7 linked regions of the Xenopus tropicalis genome follow. The protein of the gene in region 1 purifies or fractionates together with the protein of each later gene. This does not show direct contact. Links are inferred from orthologs where the notes say so. Each region holds a gene or a part of one and is shown on either strand. Other genes may lie near its edges.

The links.
Region 2: the proteins of eef1a1 (region 1) and eef1b2 purify together in Homo sapiens (affinity purification with mass spectrometry; 3 studies listed by BioGRID and IntAct, counting the BioPlex papers as one, with this or other methods). This does not show direct contact. The link is inferred for Xenopus tropicalis from reciprocal best matches to the Homo sapiens genes EEF1A1 and EEF1B2.
Region 3: the proteins of eef1a1 (region 1) and gapdh fractionate together in Homo sapiens (co-fractionation; 3 studies listed by BioGRID). This does not show direct contact. The link is inferred for Xenopus tropicalis from reciprocal best matches to the Homo sapiens genes EEF1A1 and GAPDH.
Region 4: the proteins of eef1a1 (region 1) and vars1 purify together in Homo sapiens (affinity purification with mass spectrometry; 3 studies listed by BioGRID and IntAct, counting the BioPlex papers as one, with this or other methods). This does not show direct contact. The link is inferred for Xenopus tropicalis from reciprocal best matches to the Homo sapiens genes EEF1A1 and VARS1.
Region 5: the proteins of eef1a1 (region 1) and rbx1 purify together in Homo sapiens (affinity purification with western blotting; 3 studies listed by BioGRID, with this or other methods). This does not show direct contact. The link is inferred for Xenopus tropicalis from reciprocal best matches to the Homo sapiens genes EEF1A1 and RBX1.
Region 6: the proteins of eef1a1 (region 1) and eftud2 fractionate together in Homo sapiens (co-fractionation; 4 studies listed by BioGRID, with this or other methods). This does not show direct contact. The link is inferred for Xenopus tropicalis from reciprocal best matches to the Homo sapiens genes EEF1A1 and EFTUD2.
Region 7: the proteins of eef1a1 (region 1) and eef1g purify together in Homo sapiens (affinity purification with mass spectrometry; 5 studies listed by BioGRID and IntAct, counting the BioPlex papers as one, with this or other methods). This does not show direct contact. The link is inferred for Xenopus tropicalis from reciprocal best matches to the Homo sapiens genes EEF1A1 and EEF1G.

Annotation. Positions count from the first base shown.
Region 1 is NC_030681.2:91,801,312-91,805,378, reverse strand, and holds the start of eef1a1 (elongation factor 1-alpha 1), read right to left. Parts: upstream 2,801-4,067; 5' UTR 2,771-2,800; coding exon 2,627-2,770; intron 2,355-2,626; coding exon 2,175-2,354; intron 2,072-2,174; coding exon 1,775-2,071; intron 1,678-1,774; coding exon 1,527-1,677; intron 1,077-1,526; coding exon 820-1,076; intron 703-819; coding exon 468-702; intron 379-467; coding exon 254-378; 3' UTR 1-253. UniProt on the Homo sapiens protein: Translation elongation factor that catalyzes the GTP-dependent binding of aminoacyl-tRNA (aa-tRNA) to the A-site of ribosomes during the elongation phase of protein synthesis.
Region 2 is NC_030685.2:50,704,095-50,708,247, reverse strand, and holds the start of eef1b2 (elongation factor 1-beta), read right to left. Parts: upstream 2,801-4,153; 5' UTR 2,755-2,800; coding exon 2,675-2,754; intron 2,111-2,674; coding exon 1,988-2,110; intron 869-1,987; coding exon 733-868; intron 214-732; coding exon 147-213; intron 1-146. UniProt on the Homo sapiens protein: Catalytic subunit of the guanine nucleotide exchange factor (GEF) (eEF1B subcomplex) of the eukaryotic elongation factor 1 complex (eEF1).
Region 3 is NC_030683.2:10,006,237-10,010,314, reverse strand, and holds the start of gapdh (glyceraldehyde-3-phosphate dehydrogenase), read right to left. Parts: upstream 2,801-4,078; 5' UTR 2,753-2,800; intron 1,615-2,752; coding exon of another isoform or gene 1,518-1,614; coding exon 1,515-1,517; intron 1,436-1,514; coding exon 1,329-1,435; intron 1,228-1,328; coding exon 1,137-1,227; intron 1,046-1,136; coding exon 930-1,045; intron 294-929; coding exon 212-293; intron 1-211. UniProt on the Homo sapiens protein: Has both glyceraldehyde-3-phosphate dehydrogenase and nitrosylase activities, thereby playing a role in glycolysis and nuclear functions, respectively.
Region 4 is NC_030684.2:75,080,970-75,084,469, forward strand, and holds part of vars1 (valine--tRNA ligase), read right to left. Parts: intron 1,796-3,500; coding exon 1,705-1,795; intron 1,516-1,704; coding exon 1,391-1,515; intron 1,274-1,390; coding exon 1,170-1,273; intron 1,096-1,169; coding exon 937-1,095; intron 124-936; coding exon 33-123; intron 1-32. UniProt on the Homo sapiens protein: Catalyzes the attachment of valine to tRNA(Val).
Region 5 is NC_030680.2:115,969,901-115,974,011, forward strand, and holds the start of rbx1 (E3 ubiquitin-protein ligase RBX1), read right to left. Parts: upstream 2,801-4,111; 5' UTR 2,792-2,800; coding exon 2,678-2,791; intron 382-2,677; coding exon 303-381; intron 139-302; coding exon 68-138; intron 1-67. UniProt on the Homo sapiens protein: E3 ubiquitin ligase component of multiple cullin-RING-based E3 ubiquitin-protein ligase (CRLs) complexes which mediate the ubiquitination and subsequent proteasomal degradation of target proteins, including proteins involved in cell cycle progression, signal transduction, transcription and transcription-coupled nucleotide excision repair.
Region 6 is NC_030686.2:17,862,438-17,866,537, reverse strand, and holds the start of eftud2 (116 kDa U5 small nuclear ribonucleoprotein component), read right to left. Parts: upstream 2,801-4,100; 5' UTR 2,750-2,800; intron 2,688-2,749; exon of another isoform or gene 2,664-2,687; intron 969-2,663; 5' UTR 958-968; coding exon 847-957; intron 1-846. Other genes in the region: ccdc103 (coiled-coil domain-containing protein 103), read left to right, coding at 3,100-3,150. UniProt on the Homo sapiens protein: Required for pre-mRNA splicing as component of the spliceosome, including pre-catalytic, catalytic and post-catalytic spliceosomal complexes. Component of the U5 snRNP and the U4/U6-U5 tri-snRNP complex, a building block of the spliceosome.
Region 7 is NC_030680.2:36,806,296-36,810,384, forward strand, and holds the start of eef1g (elongation factor 1-gamma), read right to left. Parts: upstream 2,801-4,089; 5' UTR 2,795-2,800; coding exon of another isoform or gene 2,783-2,794; intron 1,950-2,782; coding exon of another isoform or gene 1,791-1,949; intron 1,636-1,790; coding exon of another isoform or gene 1,572-1,635; intron 395-1,571; 5' UTR 269-394; intron 1-268. UniProt on the Homo sapiens protein: Probably plays a role in anchoring the complex to other cellular components.

The sequences.
Region 1 (4,067 bases):
GGTCTCAATTTGGTGACAGATTTTGGTCAAGTTGCTTCCATTTAGAAATTACTGGATTTAAAACACTAATAACTTAAAAACTGCCACAAACAAATGTGTCCACGAGCATTTTTTTCCTTCTGAAGCTTTTGCGATGCATTGTAATCATTAACCAGTCTTTGACTATTAAACTCTGATGGCCAATTGATAGAAAGAGTTCTGAGACCAATCCTCCACCACTGGTTATGACTGAGGTGAGAGATGCTGGAAATATTCATTTGCCTTTCTGTGCTTTCTGAGCAGACTTTGTGACTTTGCCAGCTCCAGCAGCCTTCTTATCGACCGCCTTGATGACTCCTACAGCAACAGTCTGCCTCATGTCACGGACAGCAAAACGACCTTGAAAAAAATAAATGGATAATTAGCTTAAGGGCCTACTGGGTAGCATTTTACAAGACTGCAAAAAGGTTATTTTGAAAAAGACTTACCAAGAGGGGGGTAGTCAGAGAAGCTCTCCACGCACATAGGCTTTCCTGGGATCATGTCAACAATGGCAGCATCACCAGACTTCAGGAACTTGGGATTGTCTTCCAGTTTCTTACCAGAACGGCGATCAATCTTTTCCTTCAGCTCAGCAAACTTGCAAGCAATGTGAGCTGTGTGGCAATCCAACACAGGGGCATATCCAGCACCAATCTGGCCTGGGTGGTTCAGGATGATAACCTATTAAGTCAGACATTTAGAAAACAATCTTAGAGTTATGCAAAGCGATTTAAATGCCCCCATAGCCAGCTATGGAAAGCCATATCACTTCCTTTAGCCATAAGCCATCTTGCATACCTGTGCTGTAAAGGTACCAGCTTCCATTGGTGGGTCATTCTTGCTGTCACCAGCAACGTTGCCACGACGGACGTCCTTCACAGAAACGTTTTTCACGTTAAAGCCAACATTGTCACCGGGCATGGCCTCGCTAAGGGCTTCATGGTGCATTTCAACAGATTTAACTTCAGTTGTTACATTAACAGGGGCAAAAGTAACCACCATGCCTGGCTTAAGGACACCAGTCTCCACACGACCAACTGGTACAGTACCAATACCTGAAAGAAACAGCCATTTTAGTGTGAATACTTTAACATACTAAATCCCAGCACTGCCAAAACAAGGCCTAAACGTACATGTTGGCAATTACTAGTCTTCCTTCTGGAGACTTGTTTAGAGTGTCTAAGCTAAAATTAGATTTATGAGCTCTTTGCTGCCAATATTTTATTCACTAGACATTAAAAAAGCAGTAACGTAATATATCAAAGCTGTTAACTAGGGACATCCATGCCTGGTGAACTTCAAATTTGTTACTGCAGTTGGGGGGGGAGGGATTATTTCAGACAAGCAGTTAACCTGTACAAAAAAAAAAAAAAAAAAAAAAGGCTGCTAAGTTTTTTTAAACAGATGCACGATTTTTAACTTGGTTTCCCCCACAAACCATGTAGGCCAGTAAACCTAAAGCACGAACAACATTCCAGCATACACATAGGAAAAGTGTTACTTACCGCCAATTTTGTAGACATCCTGCAGAGGCAGACGCAGAGGCTTATCAGTTGGGCGACTTGGTGGCAAAATGCAGTCAAGAGCTTCCAGCAGGGTAGTTCCGCTGCCAGATCCCTCTTTACGTGAGATTTTCCACCCCTTAAACCAAGGCATCTAGAAAAAACAAGATTTGTATACATCAAAATACTGTTACACTAACCAGAGAGTATGCCAGGCTGTAGACATTTAAGTGAACTGCCACAGTACTTACATTGGCGCTGGGCTCAAGCATGTTGTCACCGTTCCATCCAGAAATAGGTACAAAGGCAACAGTATCAGGGTTGTAACCAATCTTCTTGATGTATGTGCTGACTTCCTTAACGATTTCCTCATATCTTTTCTGGCTGTATGGGGGTTCAGTTGAATCCATTTTGTTAACACCAACGATCAGTTGCTTTACTCCCAGAGTGTAGGCAAGGAGGGCATGCTCACGAGTTTGTCCGTTCTTTGAGATACCAGCTTCAAATTCACCAACACCAGCAGCAACAATCAGGACAGCACAGTCAGCCTACAAGAGAAAACATACATTTTTACTCATGTGCACTTAACAGCAAGCCTGCCTCACCTACTTTAGATATAAATAGCAAAGCTGCTTGGGACTTAAAACCTACCTGAGAGGTACCAGTGATCATGTTCTTGATGAAGTCTCTGTGTCCTGGAGCATCAATGATAGTAACATAATATTTGCTGGTCTCAAATTTCCACAGGGAGATGTCAATGGTGATACCACGTTCACGCTCGGCCTTCAGTTTGTCCAAGACCCAGGCGTACTTGAAGGAGCCCTTGCCCATCTGTTAGGTGAAAAGTTCAGCAATGACATGATTAAAAACCCCTTACAAGGCTTCTGCCAAGAATGACCTGACACACTGCAATGTTTATACTCCCCCTACTATCACAAACACCCAAGGCAGGTGGCTATTAATACAAACCAAATACAAGTACACATTAGTGCACAGGCAAGACTTGTCTAAACAAACATGTGCAGGACTAAATATTTAGTAAGGGGGGGGGGGGGTGAGACTGCTGCAATACCACAAGAAGTGCGATTGTTAACAAAATTTACCTCAGCAGCTTCCTTCTCGAACTTTTCGATGGTTCTCTTGTCGATACCACCACATTTGTAGATAAGATGTCCAGTTGTTGTGGACTTTCCAGAATCTACGTGTCCAATGACGACGATGTTGATGTGAGTCTTTTCCTTTCCCATTGTGGATTGTTAGATGTTTGGCGGTGGACACTAAAAAACATCAAAAAAAAAAAAAAAGCTAAAAATATAGGTCACATCAAAGCAAGCCATGGCAGGCATTACTCAGCAGTTCCAAGGGCTGGAGACACAAGCAGCCCCACCCACAATTCAAGAACTTTGCACAGATATCTAGTTGGAAAAAAAACCCTGAAATCCCTCATTACATAAAAGGAAGAAGGCAAGAGCGAGGCCTGTACTCCCCCTGGTGTATGAGTCAGGCCCTGCATGCAGCGCTCCCAGCTCTTTTGTCTCCTCACTTGTGACTCAGCCTCCATCTTGTGGAGAAAAAAAAATCCTTCAGCTGAGAGCCGCCGCCATCTTTATGGAACAACCAGATGGGGGAACGCAACGCTAAACAGGACTAATGGTTTAGATACGTTTCATTTCTATAGAAAAGAGCAGAGCCCACACAGAACATTTAACCCAATAAGTAAGCAGCTGCTATCCCGCGTTCAAGCAGGGCCAGCAGTAACCCGTAGCACGCCGGCCATTTAGTGAGTGAAGCCGCCCCCACTGGCTCGGATACACCGGCCACGCCGAGCCTGCCTGGGAGAGAGGGTGATACACGTCAGCACTAGCGCCATTGTGCCAGCCGGGCCCTGACACTGGCAATAGCCCCAGTCCTGCTATAGTTCAGCGCTTACAGGCACCACAAACACTATGTTCGCCTGACCAGTCTAAACTGCACTACGTACAATGAATCCCATGTAGGCGCGCCGCCACCCATCCGCACAGCTCTCTCGCTCCTTCCCCAAACCACGTTCACTTGTCGAGCCTTAAGCATTTACCGTCTGGAATAATACAGCACCGGCAATATTAACCACATCCGCCTAAAGCCAAGTATATATTGAGAGGAGGCGGATGGCTTACATAGGAGAGGATGCAGCGCAGATTGGGACTAGGCCGCAAGCCTTGCTTTGGCACCGTTCTTCATTTTGCGCCCACTTTAAGCACCCATGTTCCCTTCCCGCCAAGATATCTAGTGTAACAATACGGTAACACTAATTGCCAGAAATACGCTAATACACAGCTGAAAGAGACCACGGCCCCAAGCAACTCCGTAACAAATGCACGCGTGGTTCCATAAAAGTTAAATAAACTACGGCAGAGGAAACCTATTTATCTACAATAACAACGGAACAGAACACAGCACACACATCCAATTGCAGGTTTCACTGCAAATCTCAAAATCACGACCCGGCCCTTGAACGCAACCCACTTACCTTAAAACTCGCCGCAGACCCGGTGAGGAAGAGAG
Region 2 (4,153 bases), on another chromosome or scaffold:
ATTTCCATTCCACAAAAAAAAAAAAAAAAAAAGGAACTGAAGACCAGTATGTAAACAGGTAGTGATTGCACTTTGCTTTTCTTAAGGCAAAACAATTAAAAACATATGCCTTAAGGAGAATAAACACTCGGGAGAAGGCCACTTACTTTTAGACTTCTTTGCTTCATACTGTGCTAAGCGTTCTTCGCGGACCCTCTTTGATTCTTCATTTTCCTATGAAATAGAAAAACTTAAGATTCTGCACAATAGCAAGTTTTTTTTTTGTTTTTTTAAGTTAACAGGCTGGTGTAGTCAGTTTAGAAGACAATATGCATCACAAATCAGCCGAAAGATGGTGATTTAGCTCATTCATCACATGACCAGCCTGAATATAGTACAGCCAAATTTGTGTTTTACACAACTCCCTTCACATGTTTAGAACCTTAGTAACCAACAGCAAACACTGCTTCAGGTATGTGGCCATAGTAGTGTGCCTTGGGCATGTAATATAATGAATTTGTGGTTACAGTGGAGCACAATTAAAGCATGCACGCATTTTTGCTACGTTCATTGTCCACAAGGAGACTACATGAAACACAGCAAACTCTCTTTACATTTCAGTCTGTAGAACAGCATGTTAAAAAAAAAAAAAAAAAAATTATGGACACAGCTGTACAGCCAGTGTAATTTATTCTGCACCTTATGCTTCTTAGGTCTAATTTTATTACATCTAAAGATTGTTACACATCCCACCTCTTCATCATCTGAACCAAACAAGTCAATGTCATCATCATCATCCTCTTCCTTGGTATCTTTTGCTGTACTGCCTGTAGTATCTTCTATGTTAACAGGGCCATAGTTTCCCAGAGGCTTCTTCACACCAGGCAGGCTAGGAAAAAAAAAAAAAAAAAAAAAAAAAAAAAACTACTTTACAAAGGAGAAATATACTTCTAGGCTATTTGCATTAGCAGCTGCTTAGAGGTGAGTCACAAGGAATATACAGTTATCTAGAATTACATACAACTTTAGAGAACAAATTACAATAGAGAACAAATTACAATACTGACATCTTAACTGCAAATGACTGCAAGCTGGCCCAAATATGGGTAGCCACGCTACTATTTGACGAGGCTCCTCTGCATGTCTGACTGGGCATTCTGTGTGCTCAGCTAGCATCAATTAAGCCAAGAGAATGCAATTCTGTCCTACTGTCAAAGAGAACACTTCAGGTTAACATTTAGTATGTTATAGAACAGCCTATTCTTAGCAACTTTTCAGTTGGTTTTCATTTTTATGGTGTATAGTTTTTTTGCCTTTTTTCTTCAGACTCTTTCCAGATTTCAAATGAGGGGGGGTGGTCACTGACCTCAGAATCCAAAAATCTGTTGCTCTGTGAAGCTGTTTTTTTTTGTACTTATCTTTCTATTTAGGGCCTCCTATATTGAATTTTCCATCTTTCAAACTACTGGCTAGTTGCCTAGGTTAAATTGGACCCTAGCAACCAGATATGTGAAACTGGACAGCGGTTTAACAAAAAAACAATCATTCAAACACCAAAATAAAAAAAAAAAAAAAGTTGTCTCAAAATTGTACAGTATACTAAAATTTAACATAAGGGTGAACAACTCCTTTAAAATACTTCATAGACCACAAAAATGATACACATTCATGATCCATGTTAATTAGAATTGTGCCCATTTACATTCTACAGCAGGCCAACAGTACTATCAAAGCTTATGTATGTTGCAGCCACTTTCTGGCTGCATGAGCACTACAGCCATAGGCAGTGATTTTTCAGCTGGATGTTAACCAATAAACCGAATTAAAAAAAAAAAAAATCTGATTCAGATTAGATAAGTATAGTAGTGAACGTGCTTCAAAGTGCTGTAGAACAGCTCAACCTAAAACAAAGAATATTGTATTCAGCACAGTATCATATTTTTTCAACCATGCTCCTTTATCAATCACTGCTGTGAAAGCAATAGCTATACTTTATCATACTGCTTACCTACTTTTCTGCTTTTCATAAGACTTGATGTGGTTGTACCAACGCAGAGCATGGAAAAGGTCAGCAGGGGGCGCACCAGAGAGGGCATCAAATACTGCAACATCAGCCTGGGAAGGGACATATCTGAAAAGGGTGGGGGTAAATATACAATTAGCAGCATAACCACTAAACATAATATAGTACAGTAGAAAAAACTGTATAAATAGTGTCCAAACATTTGTTTCCTATAAACATTATCCAAGTTTTAAGGCTATTTGCACATTTAGTTACACTGAACAGTTTATATAATTTTCCGTTCTCTGACATAGTGCAGTTTAAGCAGCTGGCTTCTGCTACATCGGCTCAGCAGTCGTAGCCAGCAGTGCCGAAAGTGTAGAAATCCAGACCTATTCTGCTTTTAATACAAATTACATTTACAAATGATTCCAAGAAACACTTAATTATTAACATTAGAAAGAATACATAACTAAAGCACAAGGCACAATTAACCAGGCAGCCTTTACATATTACATCACTTGGGATTTTGTGACACGTTTACGGCACTGCAGCTAAAAGAATTCAGGAGTCAGGCAGCAGGAGGTTGCGGCCTAGGACCACGCGTTGGAAGCCAACACGTTCATTCATATTACACATTCCTTGTCCTTTCGAACATTAGCACAACTATAATATAGCATTTACCACACTGACCCCTCGATGTAGCTCTTGTCGGCCAGGAACTCATTCAGGACCTTAAGGCCTGCAGGGGATTTGAGATCGCCGAAACCCATTACAGCAATTCACTCAAGAAGCCTAGCACACACGGGTAAAGAAAAGAACTTGCAGGCCGGGTAGATGCCTTTTATAGACAGGGGGCGGGGCTACGAGGGGCGGGCTAAGCCTTCCTTAAAGACTCACTATGTAACATGTACATCATTTCAAGTTTATATTTTTTTTTATCCGCACCCTTTCGGCAAAGTATTACTTACTGGAGACCATATCTTCGTTTTCCGACTGCAGAAATATTTGGGATTGCATGTGTTGCCGCTTATCACGGAGATAGCCGATGTTAAGTCGATCCGGAAACTGCCTGTGCCGAAGACTAACGATGTTGCGTTCGCAACATTTCGGAAACGAAGTTTCTCCGAGTCTCGTTCGTCATTTTTGCCGGACTTTGTCGATCTCTAGTCTTTGCCTGTGCGGAAGTTACCGAAGCTTTCTCAGTTACGTATAATTCTTACCATCTTCCGTGGCTTGTTCCGGAGGTTGCTTAAATCCGCCATATTGGTCAAGGGTGCCGGCCAGGGCTGTTCTGGTCTAGAAGGCCAAATATTCCCAGAGCTGTTTAGGGGAGTCGGTGGGGTGAGTGGTTTGGAAATGGCAATTCTTTGTAATGTTTTGCATAACCGATGCGGTAACCCTGCGTTACGGTGTAATGGTGTTGGCTGTGTGTCTAGCAAGGTAGTAGGTCACTCTTGTGCCCTTGACAGATGTAGTTTAGTTCGGTAGGACTTGGACTCTTCTATTATTCGCTAAAGATTTCCAGACTCCATCCCTTCCTATACTAGCAAACCCGCGGGCTACAGCGTTCCATAGTCTGTGCATGGGTGCGCGTCTTTACTCAGAGCTCTGCTGGGATTCAGTAATGCGCTTCTCTCCTTGCACATCCTCTAACCTCTTAGTTATTGCACATTGCGCGAAAATTACACATGCAATTGGTTGCGCTGGTTAAGTCGTTACTCAGCAAATAGGGAATATTGTAATATTGATTAAAATTAGTTTTTATGACCTGGCTTGTGGCTCAATGGCTATGGCAGATTTTTTTTTTTTTTTTTTTGTGGGGTGGGATAAAGTATAATACAGGTATGGGACCTGTTATCCAGAATGCTTGGAACCTGGGGTTTTCCCGATAAGGGATCTGTCTGGAATTTGGAACACCATACCTTGAAGGGCACCCTGTCACCCTGAAAAATGTTTCCCCAAGGACAGTTGCAAGCTAATAGAGCCAGCATTCTGTTTGGGAAAAACAATTTTTTGGTGTGTGTCAGCCGCACTAGCCCACACACACTGGGAGAGAGCTTTTGGTGAAGGCTGTCATGTTCTATAGCAGGCATCCCCAACCTTTTATACCCATGAGTCACATTCAAATGGAAAAAGTGTTGGGGAGCAACACAAGTATGGAAAAAGTTC
Region 3 (4,078 bases), on another chromosome or scaffold:
CAGTAGCACATACTACAAAAAAGTAAGTTAAGTTATGAAAACTTGCACAAAGCAGGGTTTTTATGTACAAGCTTGTTCACACTATTTTTAGAGAGACCTACATTGTTTGGGGGGGGTATAATTTCCATTAAGGTCACTCATACAGGGTGAGGGGGGAGACAGTTTGCTTTAGGCTCTATGTCCCAAGCTGAATAAGCCCCACTGCACTTACCATCAGTCCCTCCAGGATGCCAAAGTTGTCATTGATGACCTTTGCAAGAGGAGCCAGGCAGTTGGTTGTGCAGGATGCGTTGCTGCGGGCAAAGCAGGGGAAAAGGTAAACTAAGCATCACTCCCTTATTCCATCAGAGTAAAGAGGCCAGCCCATATAGGGAGGACACATTACTGCTTGTATTTGGGGCAAGGCCCTGTAAAGGCAGGCCCAGGGCTGGGAAGGCAGAGCCACTTTGCCAGTTGAAGCTAGCCAGCTTATGTAGAACAGTAATTGCCTGTGAGACTTACAGCATTAACATTCCTGAGCTAAAGAAAGTGGCAGAGAATGGGCAGCCTACATCAATGCCTGCCTACAGAGGCCTAAGCACTAGCCAATTACTGAGAGGTTCCATCAAGTACAGAATGGTTTGGCCAAGCAGCAAACCTAGAACAGGCTGCAATTTTATTATGGGCAGTAGAGGGAGCCCCTGCCTGATCAGTATTTGTATAGACAAATATCCTGATAAAAAAAGGTTTAAGGATTTACAGCCTTCAGGCTTAGAGTTTTACATGGTTGTTATAGTAAACAAGCCCTTATTAGATTACAGAAGCTGCAAACCATGAGCTATTGAGAACTAAAGAGTTAACCCAGTAATACAGAAGCTTGCAGACAGCCTGTAGCATTGTGGTAGTTCGCTCCCCCTTTAAAGGAACGCCCATTTTTACCCCACACTTACCTGACAACGTGAAGAGAGTTATCATATTTGTCATGGTTCACCCCAACAACAAACATGGGGGCATCAGCTGAGGGGGCAGAGATAATGACACGCTTGGCACCTCCCTTCAAGTGCAACTGCAGGTAAAAATTAAAAAAAAAAAAGTCCAGGGTGAATTCTAGATATAGAAAGCCAAATGTTATGGGGGGGGGGGGTGTAACTACTTACACCGGCCTTCTCTTTGGTTGTGAAGACTCCAGTAGATTCCACCACATACACTGCACCAGCATCGCCCCACTTAATGTTGGAGGGGTCACGCCTGGGGAGAGGAGAGAACTGTAAACATCCCCCCTGTGATTAGATTCTGCTGCAGGAACCCAGTCTAGAACCAGGCCAGGACTGAGCCACAACCTCACTTACTCTTGGAAGACGGTGACTGCCTTGCCATTGATAACCAGCTTGCCATTCTCAACACACACTGTTCCCTTGAATCGGCCGTGGGTGGAGTCATATTTGAACATGTAAGCCTGCGGAGAGTGGGAGGGGTTAATTCCCGAGCATTTTATACTCCAGAACACAAAAATGCAGATGAACGGAGCCACCTACCATGTAGTCCAAGTCAATGAAGGGGTCATTGATTGCAACGACTTCACATTTGCCGCTTAAAACAGCAGCGCGGGTCACCAGGCGCCCGATGCGGCCAAATCTTAAAAAGAAAAAATGATTTCTATCGTTAGATGTTTATGCGCTTAACCCCTTGTGCCACTGGCAAGCAGTAAGAAGATAAAGCCTTGCATCATAAGTGATGCGACGTCACAGCTAGATGTTAAAGGGGAAGTTTAGCCAATGCACTGAAACCACAATGCAACAGCTTAGTCCTTTGATCCCTATATGTTAAACTACAATTCCCATAACCCTCCATAGAATCAAGGCATGCTGGTTCCCCTCATTGGTTGGCTTGGGGAACCCCCAAGCCAACCAATGTTTGTCCACAGTGCACTGGCAATTGCCGACTCTTGCTGGGCAGTGTTGCCTGGTGCAATTGGTTGATCAGCATAGAAGTAATGGGGTGCACTGCTACCCCCTCTTTTTAAGCAGTTAGGGTGGGAAGGGCACCCTACATAGCTGTCATTATAGTGAATAGCAATAAACAGGGGCCAGTTACATAGAGAATACAGAGACCTAGATCAAATGGATCCCACTATTCTAAATGGCACAAGGGGGGGGCACATGATTTAGGCAATCTGTCACTAAGAAATATGCAAACTTAATGTACTTTGGTTTACTTGCCCTTTAAAAAAAAGGTCTGTGCCGCCATTAGCACAACACCTGCTGACACAGAAATCTCCACTGACCCAGACTCAGTTGAGCCAGCCTGGGGGGGGGGGGGCAGTTTATCCAAGCACTGCTCACGCAGCACAACCTGAATAATGGCTGTTATTACAAGCAATAATCAGTCTGCCTGCCACTGCCCTGTTATTACAGGCAATAATCACACAGCCTGCCTGTTGCGACTCCTGACACTGCCCTGCATGCTTCGAGGCACAATACGAGTGACTGGCTGCACATTCAGGGCTGAACTTTGCTCGGGGTGAAGTTCAACAGTGAAGTTCAGCGACGCGTAATGAGGACAAACAGGAGGGTGTGTAGTAAGGCTGAGAGATGAGTGGCCAGAGTGACGGGAGCAGCCTCCATTGTGGGGCAGTACTGGATCCGAGTCCTGGCAGAGACGTGCAGGGCAGAATGATAATGTCCCTGGCGTGGGTTACAGCAGCTGGCATCAACACCTCTATTAATAGGAGCCCTACTTAGCCATGCCAGGGGGGGGCATCTTAGTGTCCCACTTTAATGAGAGAAGTCTCTAGAAGGTTCACGAGAGCCCAGTCAGACTCTGTGCTGTGAGGATTATGGTCACTAACCAGAATAAAACAGCCAGGGGACTGTGCCTACGTGCGGCTGCCACCAGGGAGCAGGACGTGACTCAGCTTCCCCACACTTGTGCAATTACTCCTTATTCTGCAGCAGCGAGGGGAGGGGATTCACCCAAGGTGCCGTGCATCAGCCCCCCAGGTACAGCTCATCAATAGGACACTGACAGTGCAAGGGTGACCCTGGCCCAGGATACACTGTGACCTTGGGGTTGTCCTTGAGAGACATCAGCAGCCAGACACTGGGGACACCCCCATGCGCATTACTGTACCCCCCTCCTGGCAGAAGGTGGAGCAATGGGGAGCCGCAGCGGATGGAGAGGAGGGGTTGGGGTGTGAGGTGGGGAGCAGTGACTCAGTGGGACGTGAGGAAGCTTCACACTCCGCATGGTTCTGGCAGGGGAGGGGTTAAGGAGCAGCAGCCATTTTGAAAGAATAATCGGCCTGGACCATTAACCATTTATGAAAGGTCTGTAGCTTCATTACTTATAACCCCTCAACTGCCAGAGCCAAGGGGCATCTTACACTGGCCAATCGCTAAACCGTGCAGAGAACACTATCCCATCGGCCTTTAATCTGCCAAGCCATTAACCCCCCCCCAGCTGTTTGTCTGGGTCCATTACCCCCTTATACCCCAGCATCTCCCCCCACTCACCTGCATATTACCCCCTTAAGCCCCAGCACCCACCCCCAATGAAGTTATTAACCCCTTAACTTACCCATTGATTCCAATCTTGACAGTCATTTTGGTGTCACTTGGTTTAGTTATCAACCCCTAAAGGCAAGAAAGGAAATTAGTGGGGGGGGGGGGAACAAGAGGAGGGTACCCCGTGCCCAAGTCACTCTCCATCCCATCTATTGGGCACATCCACCCACCCCTCTGTGCCCCCAACAACCTACCTTTAATATTAACCCCCACACCACTGCACCTTGAATTGGTCCCCCTGCAGCTAAATCCCACCCAAAGGCACCCATATAGCCCATACCCACCCACTAGAGGGCAGGAAGTGCCCCATTTCACCCAGTGTCCAACCCAAATCATTAATACACAGACTCCTGATTACCCAAGGTTCCCACTTCCCTATATCTACCAGAACCCCATTACTCATCCCACCCTAAAGCCTCCCCAATCTAAGCACAGGCAGCCCTTACACCATCCCATCCTTAGCCACTAATACAGTAACCCCATTACTCACAAACACACTACATTGGAAAAGTACCAGTAGCACAGAACTACAACTC
Region 4 (3,500 bases), on another chromosome or scaffold:
AATGATGACATATCTAAAGCATGTATTGTTACCTCTCCAGCAGGTACAGATGGATCATTAACTGTCACAAAGTAAGCTGGGATACGGTGGCCCCACCACAGTTGACGTGAAATGCACCAGTCCCTAGAAAAAACATTTAAACTCATTTCAGAGAACCAGTTATTGCAATATTTTAGGGTGCTAATAAGAGACCTAGAGTGTAAGAGCATTATGCATTTCCTAGCAGTGGATCTTTTAAGCTTTCCACTACAAGACAGCACATGAAGTAACTCAGCATGTTATTTTCATTAAGATCGTACCAACTCTACATAAGTGCTGAACGCAAATGGAACACAATCAGCACGAACTGATTGGACATGGCAGTCTGTATTAACCTCTGTGTTCCCCTGCAGTGGAACTCAAGACAACCACTCCTCTGCCCTTATGCAGTCGGACAGAAAAAAAGACAGAGGTCAATTTGTAAAAGAAAGAGAAATGTGTTTAAAGCATTGCACACATTTTATAAGAAACCAAGTGTCTTGGGTTGCTATTACAAATCTTCTATACTGAAAAAGATCACATGGAGAAAAAGATATACTGAAAAAGATGCCAGGGGATTAAATGGGAACTATTGCAAAACATGTCACTCTTCATTCTTGATTGACAAGTAGATCTAATACATCTTTTAGGGTGCACTTCCTTTCCTAGCAGATGTATTGGAGTTAACTCTAATAACCAGAACAAAAAAAATAACTGACTTCAGCTCAATTCCTTAATGCAGAGAAACGAGCAGAGTGAGCTCTTCTAGGCAAAAGGTGCAACGCCCCCAAAACATGTATTAGACCTAACTGTCAATCAAAGCCCCTTAATAGTACAGTACCTTTTCATCAAATACAACTTATGGTGTTGGGGTTACTTCAAAAAAATTACAAAGCCTGAAGCAAAATTTTTGTTCACCTGATATTGTCCATCCAAATGAACCATGTCTTAGTGTGGAATTCAGGTTTAATTAGCAAATGTCCATCACGCACAGCATCAGCAGCTCTTTTCCCCATCTCATCACAACGTACATACCACTGAGGCTTCAGCAAAGGCTCTACAATGTCTTTTGAACGGCTAAGGGAAAAGATTTGAAAATTAATGTAAGCCTATAGAGAATCAATCTGTTGTGTGGCTGCTGTAAATGTTACCTGCAAACTGGCACAACCATAGGGTTGTCTTTGACCTCCTTGAAAAGTCCCTTTTCTTTTAGTGCATCCAAAACAGCTTTTCTGGCATCAAATCTTTTCATTCCCTGAAAAAAAGATTTTTGCTTAAAGAGAGCATGTGACAGAAAACAAAGATTAACAGTTTAGCACAGAAAGAAAAGGTTAAATTATGTAAAATTGTGTTGTCCATGTGCTATTCTTACCAGGAAAGGTTGGGGTACATTTATAAGAGTCCCATTGTCATCCATGATGTTAACAAAATCTAGAGAGTGTCTCATTCCAACCTCATAATCAGTTGGATCATGGGCAGGAGTGATTTTTACAGCACCTGTATAACAAGATGAAAAGAAAAAGTGTAATTTTTGCAACCTGTCTTTCACATTCAAATGTTCATCAAGTGTTGCTATGTCCAGACTTGAAATTAAAACCTCAGATATGCACTATGCGCATAGCATAGTTGATACTCATCGTCTATTGTTGATATTCTTCAAATCAAAACTTGAATTTCTGCAGGTACCTGTTCCAAAGCTCATGTCTACAAACTCATCAAAGACGATAGGAAGGAGGCGAGAGCAAAATGGATGGAGAACGTGATGACCCTTTAAATGCTGTAAAAGGGATAAGTAGAAGCTTTATTAATATGATCCTACAATTGTTGCATTCAAATGTCTACAACAGATACAAAAAAGGGGTGGTAAGTGCAAGTGTCGGCCCAAACCCACCCGACCCGCACATCACTAATATATGTTACAAATAATATATGCCTTTCTATAATATACTATAGGTGCCAGTACCCACTGTCATTTACTATGCACAAATTGCTTGGGGTACCAGTATCTACACATTCATTTCATATAATACTTTATATCAGGGATCCCCAACCTTTTATACCTGTGAGCCACATTTAAATGGAAAAAACATTGGGGAGCAACGCAAGCATAAAAAAGGCTGTAATTGGCTACTTAATAGCCCTTATGTGGGCTGGCAGGCTACAGGAGGCTCTGTTTGGCATTATACTTAGTTTTAATGTAACTGCAACTTGCCTTCTCCCCAGAAATAAAAAAATGAGCACCTACTTTGAGGCTACTGGAGCAACATCCAAGGGGTTGGTGAGCAACATGTTGTTTAGGAGCCACTGGTTAGGGAACACTGCTCTATATAATGTGCTTTGGGTGTGGGTATTCACACGCAGCTTTTTGCCACTCCTGGTAACTTGCTGGGCACTGCCATCTGAGGCATGTTCTCAACACGCTTATGGTGGCAGGCCCCTGCTGCTACTTGCACGTCTCTCCAGCTAAATATGTACCTACATTTTAGAACTGACAGTTTAGTCCAACATATATATATAAAATTATATATTTAGGGGCAAAATATGCAGACATGATATTTTGGTCTTGCAGAACTTTTCCAGTGCAAGAGTTTAAAGACTATCCCATCACCCGGGAGATAAAACAGTAACCAAATATCTAGGATGATGAGAACAGTCTGCCTGGATGTTAGGTTATATGGCACTGAAGTTATAATGTTGCTTTTAAACCAGTGTACCGAAAAGGCAGATTTTATCAAAATGTATTATGAATACTGTGGTGCTGAGCCTGGCTCTAACCATGACCCACATGATTCCTGAGAAATAGATTACATTGAAAATGAGTGCCTTTGAAAAAAAAAATAAGCATAAAAGCATTTCCACTAAAGCCCTTGGATGTTGCTCCCAGTGGCCTCAAAGTAGGTGTTTATTTTTGAATTCCTGACTTGGGGGCAAGTTTTAATTGAATAAAAACAAGATTAGCTACCAAATAAAGCAGTCTGTAAGCTGACAGTGTGCATAGAGGCTACCTGATAGCCAATGTTAGCCCTTATTTGGCACCTCCATGAACTTTTATGATGCTTGTGTTGCTCTCCAAGTCTTTTTACATTTGACTGTGGCTCACAAATAAGGGGATTTATACTTACCGTTACATCCTTTTCTCTTAGTCCTATAGGGGACACAGGCACCATGGGGTTAAATCCCCTCCCATCAGGAGGCAGGACACTGTATAATTTTGATTTCTCTCCCCTATATAACCTCATCCCCCACCCAGGTACCTCAGTTATGTAACAAGACCGAGCAAACAGTGCTCTTAACTTAATAACTATAAGCTATAACACAGCTGAGTGAGAAGGTATGCATGATCCCTAAGTTTCCAGGGAGGGTGGCCTGTGTCCCCTATAGGACTAAAAGAAAAGGATGTAACGGTAAGTATAAATCCCCTTTTCTCTTGCGTCCTGGGGGACACAGGCACCATGGGGACATACCAAAGCCGTCCCCCCTGG
Region 5 (4,111 bases), on another chromosome or scaffold:
GTTTCTCCAAAAAAACTATATTATATATTTGATACTAAGTCACTGAATATCCATCAAAGCTACTTACATTACACACACCCCATGCCACAGTGCATTCCTCAGAAGTAGCAGAAGCTTGGTTTGCTTGGCACTCTATGCCTAGAAGATACAAGAGGATTATTTTTATTTTCTGCATTTGTACCATTCAAAGGGGTTATTCACTTTTTCAAAGATAAATGTATATATAAGCACTGGGACTAACTAAAATGTTGCTTACAGACAACAGTTGTTTTATCGGCTAAAGTTCAATTAAGGAAACTTACACAAGTCCATGATGTGGTTCCTGCAGATGGCACAATTGTCCACTACAATGTCCCAGGCCCAAAGGGCAACTGCATTCCACTGCAACAAAAAAGAAAAAAAAGTTAAAGTGATGTAAATTTTGGCAATAAATTAAATATGTTTTAAAACTCATCTAATCACTTAGCACAATCTGCTCTAAGTTGGTTCATGTGTATAGAATTACCGGTATGTTCGATTTACTAGTTTAGCCAGTTTTACCAGACAATGGCTTTGGAGTCTTACTGGAATGGTTAAACGTGGCCCAAATGTGGCTCAATGAAGGCACCAATATCAATGTGCCTAGATCAGGGCCGGAATAATGGGTGCCAGACAGGTACCTCTCCTGCCTCCCCCTAGTCTGCACTAACTTGTCATTTCCTTCACTGCACGTGGGTATTATGCATGGGAGGGTGCAGGGGTAAGGTGGCCGACCAGGTTGCCTAGGTGCCCGGTCGGCTTGGCCTGCCTCTGGCCTAGATGCTTGGCAGACCCTGTTACCTCAACATGTAGCCTCACACAGAGCTGGATAAGAGTGTCGTCTTGATGACCCCCCCCCCCCTTTTTTTTTTTTTTTTTTTTTTAACAGTAATCTCAGGTCAGACTGTATACAACAGCTCCATCAGGAGCTTATTTCTAACAAATAAAGTGTCTATACCATAAACATATACTTTTCACTAATTCACTCAAATTAAAAAAAAAAAAATATATAAAAAGTTGGGGAGCAACACAATCATGATAAAAGTGACAAATAAGGGCTGTGATTGGTTATTTGGTAGCCCAATGCAAACTGGCAGAATAAAGGAGACTATTTGGCAGTACAGATGGTCTTTATGCCTACAAAACTTGCCTTCAAATTAGACATTAAGAAATAAACACCTGTTTTGAGGCCACTGGAAGCAACATTAAAGGGGGTGGTGAGCAACATGTTGCTCATGAGCCACTGGTTGGGGATAACTGATCTATAACATGAAGGGAGAAGGACCCTCTAAGCAACTCCATAAAAAGGTGATTTAAAGCACAAGTTGGGGGATGGAAATAGGAAAATTTCCAAGTCTCTAACTATAACTGGACATACAGTTACATCTATCATTTAGAAACTGAAAGGGTATGGCATAGCTGTAAATCTGCCAGGAACAGGCCATCCACGAAAAGAGAGTGAATGTGCAAGGAGAAGAATAATGTAGAAGGTCACTAAGAGACCCATGACAACTCTGTGGCTGAAATTGGAAAGGCTATAAATACAACAAATACTGCCCAGTAGTGGAAGAAAGAAAGCCACTGTTAATCAGGGTTGGACTGGGCTACGGGACACTGGGGAAAAAGCCCAGTTGGCCCCAGCCTTCATTTAGGCTTACCCAGTGGCACATACTACAAAAAAAAGTATATTTATATGAGAATGGCTTTTTTGGATGAAGTAGGGTTTTACATATGAGCTTGTATATGCAATACATATTTAGAGACCTACATTGTTTCGGAGTATAGTTTTCCTTTAAGTATAGGGTATGCAGGGTCTGAGGGAGAGGAGGCTGTAATGGCAACATACACCAACAATGGCACATACACCATGTTTGATACTGTAAGCTAAACACACCATGCCCTGCAGAACTATGGTGGCAAAATCATCACGCTGTGAGAATGCATATTCACAGCTCCTGTACCGTAGGGGTATATATATCATGCTGTGCAAAAAGTGGAGTAAAACATCACCGATGAAGTTTATAGCAGCCAATCAGAACTGTTGAAATCTAATAGCCGATTGGTTACCCAGCTCAACACCACTGATAATGCTTCACTCCACTTTTTACACAGCATGATTAATATACCCCTACATGTGCTAAATGCAAGTCATTTGACCCCTACATTTACTTGTTCAACAATTTATTTTTTATCAAATAGCCCCGTTTCTTGCTCTCACACCGCTAAAAGCCCAAGACACATTCCCTGCCTCCTCCAGGGAAACAAATGAGCAAATGAGACCACGCAATGTCTGTGGCCCTACAGCTCCCCCGCAAACTCGTGAAGTGCGGCTACATGATCCCGCCTCCCAGTGCAGCTGAGAGGGGCACTTACATTGGTTAGAATTCATCCAATCGTTTGTGGCATCAGTAGCTATCCGCTATTGGGCCGCCGGAACGACAGAAATCACCGCTTTGCCAAAACGGACCGCCCTAAGTATTAGGGTTTAACATTTGATTCGGCGGAAAACACGTCAATCAAACATCTAAAAAGCTTTAGGGCGCAAGCAATCTAGCTGAATAGTATCAGCTGCTGCACTGTCGCCCTCTTTAAGTATTAGTTAGAAAGACTGTTCTGATCATTTGCTACATCCATAACATACGCAAGCAAGCACACTTACCTTCTTAACCTCAAAGCGCTTCTTACTAGCGCTGTTATTCGTTCCGCTTGGTGTGTCTACATCCATTGCGGCTGCCATTTTGAAAAGAGGAAATTCCGGGTCTATATGGCGCATGCGCCGAAAGCTGGGCTGATGCCTTGGTCATGTGATTAGCATTAAAGGCGCACAGTTTGGGGCGTGTTAGTAATGTGTGTGGGGGCGGAAGACGGTAACGAGGAAGAGCTGCGGTCTGCAGGCTTGGAGAGAATTTATTTAAAGGCGTAGGCACATGCTCCTTGAGGGAAGTAAAATGTACAGATTTAAGCAAGCTAGCCTTTTCATCTGTTCGTATTCACTAAGGGGCTGTGGTGTTCTGGTTAAGCAAAATATTTCTGTATTGAACAGTTAACCCTTTCACTGCCAGCTGATTTGGTCAAAGCAGAACTTGTATTGCCAGACTGTTTTGAAACATTTTGCACTCTTAGGGCCTTTCCTTGGGGGGACTTTTAGTTTACACAGGAAAACAATATATCTTTTTTTTTTGGGGGGGGGGGCGACCTAAGATTTCAAAATATGGTAGAATTTTTGTGTGATTCCAATTCTGGAACAAGATATAGGCTTCTTAATGTCTAAAAGATTAAAAAAAACAAAAACAACAAAAAAACAACAACACGTTTTCCGTAATATAAACACATATAAAAGAAACAAATGATTTTATGCACAAAAATACAACTGATTCGGAAAGTCCCATGTCTCCTGAATGTGCCAGCACCAAATATATATATAGTTTTATGTCGATTTCTCATTTGTGTGATTCAAAAATTCCCAGCGGTACACTACCTACCAAATTTCCAAAGCACTGCTCCAGAAAGCTTGCATACTTAAGATTTTAACACCTACATTTCAGAAGGTTTATACCAGAAAATTATACATTTTTGGAAAGAACAGATTCTGAGGAATGGAGAATAGGTTAAAACTGTCTGTCTACTCCAAACTACGAAGTTGCAATGCTTTCCTAAAATTATTGTTTTTTTATCAAAATTTATCACAAAGCTAAAACTGTAGTACTGTGTTAGCCAGTGTCAAAAATAATAATAAAAAAAACAAAATACAAGAGTATTATATATAAAAATAACATTGCAAGCTTTCGGAGCTCTAAGGACCCTTCGTCAGGCAAAATATGTATAGGTTTCCACAAGTGTGTGCAATGTAGGGGCCCTAAAATGAAAATACCCCTATATGATCTATCATTTCTGTCATTTCAGCTCCTGCAAAATCAACATTTACATTATTTTATGTGGAATGAAGCTACAAAAAATGAATGCTCACCCCAGAAAGTCATATATTTTTTTGAAAGTACACATTCCCATAAATTCAAAATGGTTACACATGCCTTTTTTACTCCAAAGTACCAAGCTGCAAAGCTTTCCTAAAGTGGGCGATTTGGATGATATT
Region 6 (4,100 bases), on another chromosome or scaffold:
CCATGCACCATGGCATTGTATAAATGCCATCAGGGGATGGTATTTCTACAATGCTCAAGAAAGCATGACATTTATATTTAATATGTGTCCAGTTTCTTTTGGTAGGGTATTTGGTGGCAATTTAAGAATAAATATTATCTGAGAGTCCGATAAACTTTTATAGACTTAGTGAGGCTTTACATTGACAACAATAAAAAAAATAAATCAACTACAATAAAAACAACAAGGAAAGGCAAAGTCACTTGGGGGTGCCAAAATGTTAGGCACCCTCAAGTGACTTTAACCGCATACCTTGTACCCCGGGCTGGTGCCCCTGTTAGGAGAAAATTGCACCAGCCCGGGGTACCTGTAGCGAGCGCTTCCTCCTTCCGTATTTGCGCTTCAGGCAAATTCCCAGGACAATCGCATGCGTAGTAGAGTGAAAAGCCGACTTTATAGTTTAAGTTCGTCTTTTTCACTCTACTGCGCATGCAAGCGAAGCAGGAAGGAGGAAGCGCTCGCAGCTACCCCGGGCTAATGCTATTCTCTCCGAACAGGGGCACCAGCCCGGGGTAAAAGGTAAGGTGATTTAAGTCACTTGGGGGTACCTAACATTTTGGCACCCCCAAGTGACTTAGCCTTTCCTTCTCCTTTAACCCATGCAATGCCATAAATATAGGATCCATGGCACTTGCATGATGGTAATTTGGTGTTGTGCCACATATTCTCTGGTGCGGGTATATAAAGGGACTAACAAAATTGTTGTTCTATGGTAGGCCCTGATTAATACATCTTCATGTTTTTGGCTTTATTGTTACAGAGGTCTCATGTGCAGGCCATGTATGTATGTAATGAGAATTGCCTTACCACATCCACATCCCTGTCATCTCTCCCCATGTCATCGTCATCATTATCATCATCTGAATCCAATTCAGGCCCAATGTAGTTACCAAATTCATCGTACAAGTCAGCGTCCATTTTAGCTGAGCCTTATTTTAAAATATAAAAAAATAAATAAACTCACTGGTCAATGACAGAATCCCCACCACAAATACACACATTAAAGGAATACTCTCTTTCCTTTAAAAAAATAAAAAAAATCAAGGTTTCGAGGCAACTTTTCTTTAAAGTCAGATGAAAGGAGACCCAAGGAGCCATTATCTATTGCCAGCCTACTTCCCCACCAGCAGCAAACAGGCTGGTGTTTATTAGCACTGCTTTGCTCACTGCCTATCCATGCATCTGCCCAACTCTATCCACTCCCCTTGGACGCTGGGTTGTATGCAACATGTTATCTCAGAAAGTGAATACAAAGGAAAGGCTACTCACTAATGTTCTTGCCGGCAACTGTTAGCAACAGTTATAACTGTTACCTTAAAATCAAGAAGCAATTATTTGTATTGGGGTAACAGTATAACAGAATAAGGTGAAAGTAGAAATAAAGGCAAATAGGATCATTCTACAAGTGAAATATAAGCCAGAGATGAATTATGACTCTCTACGTTCCACAGCCACAGTTAACCTTAAAGGAACAGTAACACCAAAAAATGAAAGTGTATAAAAGTAACTAAAATATAATGTGCTGCTGCCCTGCACTGGTAAAAGTTGTGTGTTTACTTCAGAAAGTCTACTATAATTTATATAAATAAGCTGCTGTGTAGCCATGGAGGCAGCCATTCAAAGAAGAAAAGGCACAGGCACATAGCAGATAACAGATAAAACACTATTGTATTCTACAGAACTTATCTGTTATCTGCAATGTAACCTGTGCCTTTTCTCCTTTTTTCCAGCTTGAATGGCTGCCCCCATGGCTACACAGCAGCTTATTATATAAATTATAGTAGGGTTAAGCTGGCCATACACGCACCAATACTATTGTACGAAACCCCGTTTCGTACGATATTCGGTGCGTGTATGGCATGTCGGCGAGTCAACCGATATCGCAGGAAGCTGCTGATATCAGACGACTCGCCGATCGGCCAGGTTAGAAAATTTTGATCGGGCGCCATAGAAATCTGCCGTCAGGGCTGAATCGGCAGAAGGAGGTAGAAATCCTATTGTTTCTACCTCCTTATCTGCTGTTTCAGCCCTGACGGTGTGTGGCGGATCTGACATCATCAGATCGCCACGTGTATGGCCAGCTTTACTGTAGCAAACACACCAATTTTACCAGTGCAGGGCAACAGTGCATTATATTTTTATTACTTTAAAGCTCTTATTTTTGGTGTTACTGTTCCTTTAAGCTTTTACCATAATACAGACTGATGTAGTCTGGCCAACTGGAGGACTGCAGGTTGGACATCCCTGACATAATTAGCAGCTACAGTAGGGTATCCATCATTCTGCTCTAATGTATAAAGCATAAAAGAGGAAGGCTTATGCCATACACCCAATGGCCCAACACCAAATCAAGGGTACCCAGGTAATGTGGGGGTTTACTACTTGTCACATCATTGCCCCTGGGTTATCCACCCCAGATAGGACACCATAAAAAATGTACTTTTACTGCATTACACCTAGAGGAAAAAAATGGCAAAAACATTACCATTATTTGAAAACTTTGCCCAGATTAAAAAAAAAAGGGGGGGGGACTTTCCCTTTAATGCAATATGGCAACACAATAAATGTAGTTAGCCGTGCTGCTTCCTACACCCTCTAGCAACCCAGCCAGGCCCTGTGCTTACTGTATATCCACCTAAAGGTATCAAGCGAGATTCATTTCTAGCTACAAGGAAAATATCCCGTTTCCTTTCCATTCATTGCAACTTACCCGCTCACGCCGCTCTCACACACACAGACACACGCCACTTCCTGCGACAAGGCCACGAAGGACCCCGCACGTCGGCTATACGCTTCTCAGCGTGCAGTACTCGCAGGCCTTCAAAGTTAAAACGCCCTTTCCTTTTTATGACTCAAATGAGGCTACATGCTAGCAATTGTCATAATGTGCAGTTATACCTAGAATTGCACTAATTTCATATGAAACTTGCAATTTGATCAGGCACCCTGTTAAACACCTATTCAAATAAGCTCGCCTTTAAAATACGTAAAGGACCTAGATGTTTTCTGATTGGCCAACAACAGTCTTTGACGTTCGTTCGTGTGATTGGCTGATACGAAATGGAACGTTTCCATAGGAACGGAGAAGCGGAGGCAGACGGTGAGGAGCAGGTAGGTTTGTATGGCGCTTTCACTTGCTGGATTGCGTGCAGTTTGCTTAAAAGTACATATTCCGATTTAGAATTGTTAGATATTTTCAGGGTATGCACCTGAAATCTCCAACCTGCTGCACTCCAATATGTTGAGTCTAAGCAGGGCCGCTGCTGGCCAAATGGGTGCCCTAAGCAGAAATGTACTTTTGTGCCCCCTCCCCCAAATATTACGGAAGTAAAAATAAAATAATAAAAAAAACACCTACTATAGGGGCCCCACTAACAGTGCCCCCAATTGCCCCCATAGACACTGCCCCCATAGACACTGCCCCCATAGACACTGCCCCCATAGACACTGCCCCCATAGACACTGCCCCCATAGATTGATTGAACTATCTGGGACAGCGGGATGCGCTATAAAAACCGGCGGGACAGTGTTGGGGGTATGTTATAATATATAAAAACGATTTTTTTGAGCAGCAGGGATGGTGCCTCCCTGGGAGTTGGTGCCCTATGCAGACTACATACTCATAGTTACATAGGGTTGAAAAAAGACCAGAGTCCATCAAGTTCAACCCATCCAAGTAAACCCAGCACACACAACCCACACCTACCAATCTACATACTCACATACATAAACTATAAATACAACCACTAATACTAACTGTAGATATTAGTATCACAATAGCCTTGGATACTATGCTTGTTCAAGAACTCATCCAAGCCCCTCTTAAAGGCATTAACAGAATCTGCCATTACCACATCACTAGGAGGGCATTCCCCAACCTCACTGCCCTCACCGTGAAAAACCACCTACGCTGCTTCAAATGGAAGCTCCGTTCCTCTAATCTATAGGGGGGGCCTCTGGTGCGTTGATTGTTTTTATGGGAAAAAAGAACATCCCCCATCTGCCTATAATCCCCTCTAATGTACTTGTACAGAGTAATCATGTCCCCTCGCAAGCACCTC
Region 7 (4,089 bases), on another chromosome or scaffold:
CACAGAGCTACTAGTAGCAGCTACTTGCCGTGACTACTAAAAAAGAGAATGCTGATCATTTACAGATAATTGCCTCTACATGTGTTTTAGCAGAGGCAATTCTCAGTATTGTCTATGGCAGGGTATTTTCTGGAGTTTAGTAGTCATAAAAAAAAAGTAGCTGCTACTAGTAGCCCAGTGTGTCTTCACCCTAAGAGTGGACTTTCATTATACCCAGTCTGCAGGAGCCCGAGACACACAGAAAGAGGGACAAAAAGAAATGGATAACCTTGATGTAGAATGATAAAGATTCACAGCTCATCTCAGAGCTCACATGCTCTCCAATTTAAATCTGAGACTCCAAGTCAGCATTTGTCTTGTAGTGCAATTCTATGCATTCCGCCACAAGGAATGCCTATAAAAATATGAAGAGATTAAGGTATAATTTGCCAGGTTGCTATTTTATGATTTCAGCTTTGCAGCTGCTGTTTGAATGGCCAGCTATCCATAAGTTTTTTTTTTTTTTAATAACCTTTCACAGGAATACTGCTTATGTTTATAATTCCACCTTAGTGTAGGGAGTGCAAGCAGCAGAACTATAAGTGGCCATCTCCAAAGATAGAACACTTCCCAAGGTTCTCAACCTATAATGGGACATGCCAGCAGGGTTGATCGATATTGGCGAGTACAGAAAATCTGTATTTGTCCGAAATATGTGGAAACATCTTTACTGAAATGTTTTTATGTAAAATCACTATTTCTGGGCAGTTTCCCACCAGGAGGCCAGCAGGCAGGATATGTGACTGAACCTGGGCCTGGGCTGGGGATTCCATGGATTGATCTAAATAAATAGATTTTTAAGAAGAGAAAATGGCCAGAACGAGAGCAGAAATGGTAGGTGCACAATTTTTGGGTTATTTTAGGACCATCCAAACAGTGACATAACTAAGCAGCACCTGGGCCCAGTTGCAATTTTAAATGCATGCACTCCCTCCTCCTCTGTACCCCTTTCCCCATTCATTTATTTGCAGAGAGCAGAAGAGCAAACATTGGAAATAAGGAGGGAGAACCATACAGCAGACCAAGCCTGGACTGGCAATCTGTATATTCTGTAAAATGCGAAAGGGGCTGCTGTAAGATGCCACTGGGCTGGGGGTTTGGCCTCTGTGTACTTGAAATGTTGAGGCCTATTTTGAATCCCAGTCTGGCCCAGCAGCAGACCTTGAGACCATTATACCTCCCCTGTGGCTGTGGGGTCTGCTGTATACTAGTTACAGCAACAACCTCCAAATTAGCTTCTTAGGGTAAGAACCCACATAGCGAGTTACTCACCCACAACAGACCGCTGCTATCATGGGCGAGTAAACGCTCTGAAAAGGCTTTTCTCCTGCAGGCAACTTCACGCAACTTTGGAAACCGAAGGCCTTTTCACCCATGACTTCTACTGTTGCCGATGGAAAGCCTTTTCGGAGCAGTTACTATCACAGGTGGGTTCTTTCCCTAAGGGCCAGAGAGTAATTGCTAGGTCTGATTCTATAAAGGCTAACCTGCTGAAGATAAAATGATAACAAGAGATAAAATGATTGTCTCACCATAATGAGCAATGGCGCTGCTCTCAAAAAGGCAAAAACCGTCGTTGCCCTCAAATGCTGGTACCTAAAAGTCCAGAAAGAGTTTGATTAAGGACAATAATATTACCTTAAAAAGTTCATTACATCCAGGGCTACAGTATGAATATATACATACTGTACACACATTGCAGATTATCTGGAGGGGTTGAAGTTGAGGGACTATGGAAGCAAATGCATTACCTTGCCTAAGGGGAATTTCTTTAGGAACTCGGATGTCTTATTCGTTACTCCAAACTGGAATTCTGGAGGAGAGGAGGCAACCTTGATGGGGAACCCCGAATACTGAGCAGCAATGAGGGGCTTGTATGCCCTCCAGTTATCAGGGTATGTGTACAGAGTCTGCAGAGAGAATACACACAGTTATACATTATACACACTGAGGCAAGCAAATATTGTACAAAATGATTATCCCCAATCATATGGGACTTTGCACCACCAGGCACCATATACAATTCCATGTACCATATTTAGGGTTGCTGAAGGAAACATTTTCCTTTATATATCTAACACATTCTAATGTACACCCAAGGCCCTGGAAAGCAGCACATATCTTACTACATGCCATATCACTATTCTTATGTGAAGTCTCCTACTGGGTAAAGCTAAGCCTTGGCAGACAACAGAATGTAAGCCTAAAATCTTTAACTCAAGCAGCTACTTCTTGTCTTTATACTCTTATGGCAGCAGCAAATAAAACCAGGGTTGCCACCTCACCACTTTACGCCACACTACTAACATGTATTAGCTACAACACTGCATGGCAGCTCAAAAGCCTTCCCATGCGTTGGAAGTTCTCTATAGAGAATACTGTGCATCTGTCACATGTCACTGTATAGAGCCGCTGTCACACAGCAGCCGGTATTACAGCCGTACAAATGGCGCACAGAGCGGGAGAGAAACGCGTGTGGAAGGAGCAGGCAGGGACACGTGACTAGGGGCAGTTACCGGGGCAGCGCCGTATTGCCCTCTCTTTGTACCGCTCCCCTTAGTTCCGGGTAAAGCCGGGCACTATTCCCACTAACTTTACCCCATACTACCAGCACCAAACCGGGAGATGAAAGGTGACCCGGATAGCAGAGCGCACCCCATATCCCAGTGACCCACACTACGGCCCGGATATATCATAAGCTGTCGGATGTGGATGGATTTTCTGGGACCTATTCATTACTTACCCCGCCGGCCATCTTCACGCGAGTAGAAAGGGAGGAGCCGCAGTTCCAGCTCTCCGACGTAATATAGGTGCCGAAAACAGACTACGGGCTGTCGTAAAATAGAGGAGTGTAAGCGACGGGAGCGTAACGTGACGCTTTCGGGACGTACAGGCAGGTGATATGTGGCAGTATGGGAGATACAAAGGGTTTCTGTCAGAAAACCCTACCCCAAAAAAAGGATTCTATGGAGTTAAGCTGTGATAGTGAGTTTAATAAGCTGAGAGTGAGAGGGATTCACTTCCCTGGCAGAACCTTCCAGAACAGCATAGAGGGATTTCCTTGCAATGTAGGAGCCAGCTGCTAAGGGATAATACATTTAGTCAGGACCATAGATAGAACTAACATATGTGGCTGCCTGAAATATGTATTATAGGTGTTATTGAAAAGTCTGTTAAAATGACCTGTCAAAGGTCATTTGGGGTAGAAAAGTAAGGTTTATTAGACACTTAATTGGGTTCTGAGCAAAACATAGAACAAAACCAGTGTTGCCAGATTTATTTTTCCAAACCAGCCCAAAACTAGCCAAAAGCCACTTCGAAAGTAGCCCAAAAATAGCCCAATATACAAAATGAAAACAAATTCTAAAAAATAAAAGTATATATGGGAAAATGCTTTTTTTGTAGTGTATAATTACTACCCATGCCCTGTGCCCTCTCTCCAGTTACTGGGATGGCTGATGTTTCCCAGCCCCCTGTGCCCAGTCCATGCAGGTTATAGTAGTTTTGCTGGTTCAGGTTCAGCAAAGAGGAATAGAAAAGGGAGCTTCTGTCTATAATTGCATGCTGGGTATTGTAGTTTTATATTAATCTTAGCTGTAGGCTAATTGTAAGAATTGTACTTTCTTTTAAAGTAACTTAAGTTTTTGCAAAAGTTACATAAATTGCATAAGTGTAGTGGCCCAATGATGTTGCTGTGGGGCCCAATAACCAGTCATTCCTCTGCTGTAAAGTTCATGCAGGAGTGCACAAATCCATCTGTTAATAGTTTTCAATATAAACAGCCGACATTACTCTTTAATAAATAGTTAAAATGAGTAATTAATGTGCTAATGTAATATGAGTAGTAATGTAATAATGAGTCAATTCACTGGGGACAGTAACATTTACCTTGACTTTTTTGATCTATTGGGGGGGTCATATTGGGATATGCAAGTTAGGTTAGGGTATTTCCATACAGCTGATTCTTGAATCTAAAAATCTTTCAGTTGTGCCTGCACCCGGAAGCACTGAATCCGCCTGGGTGCAGGCACACGCATGATATTTCTGCCT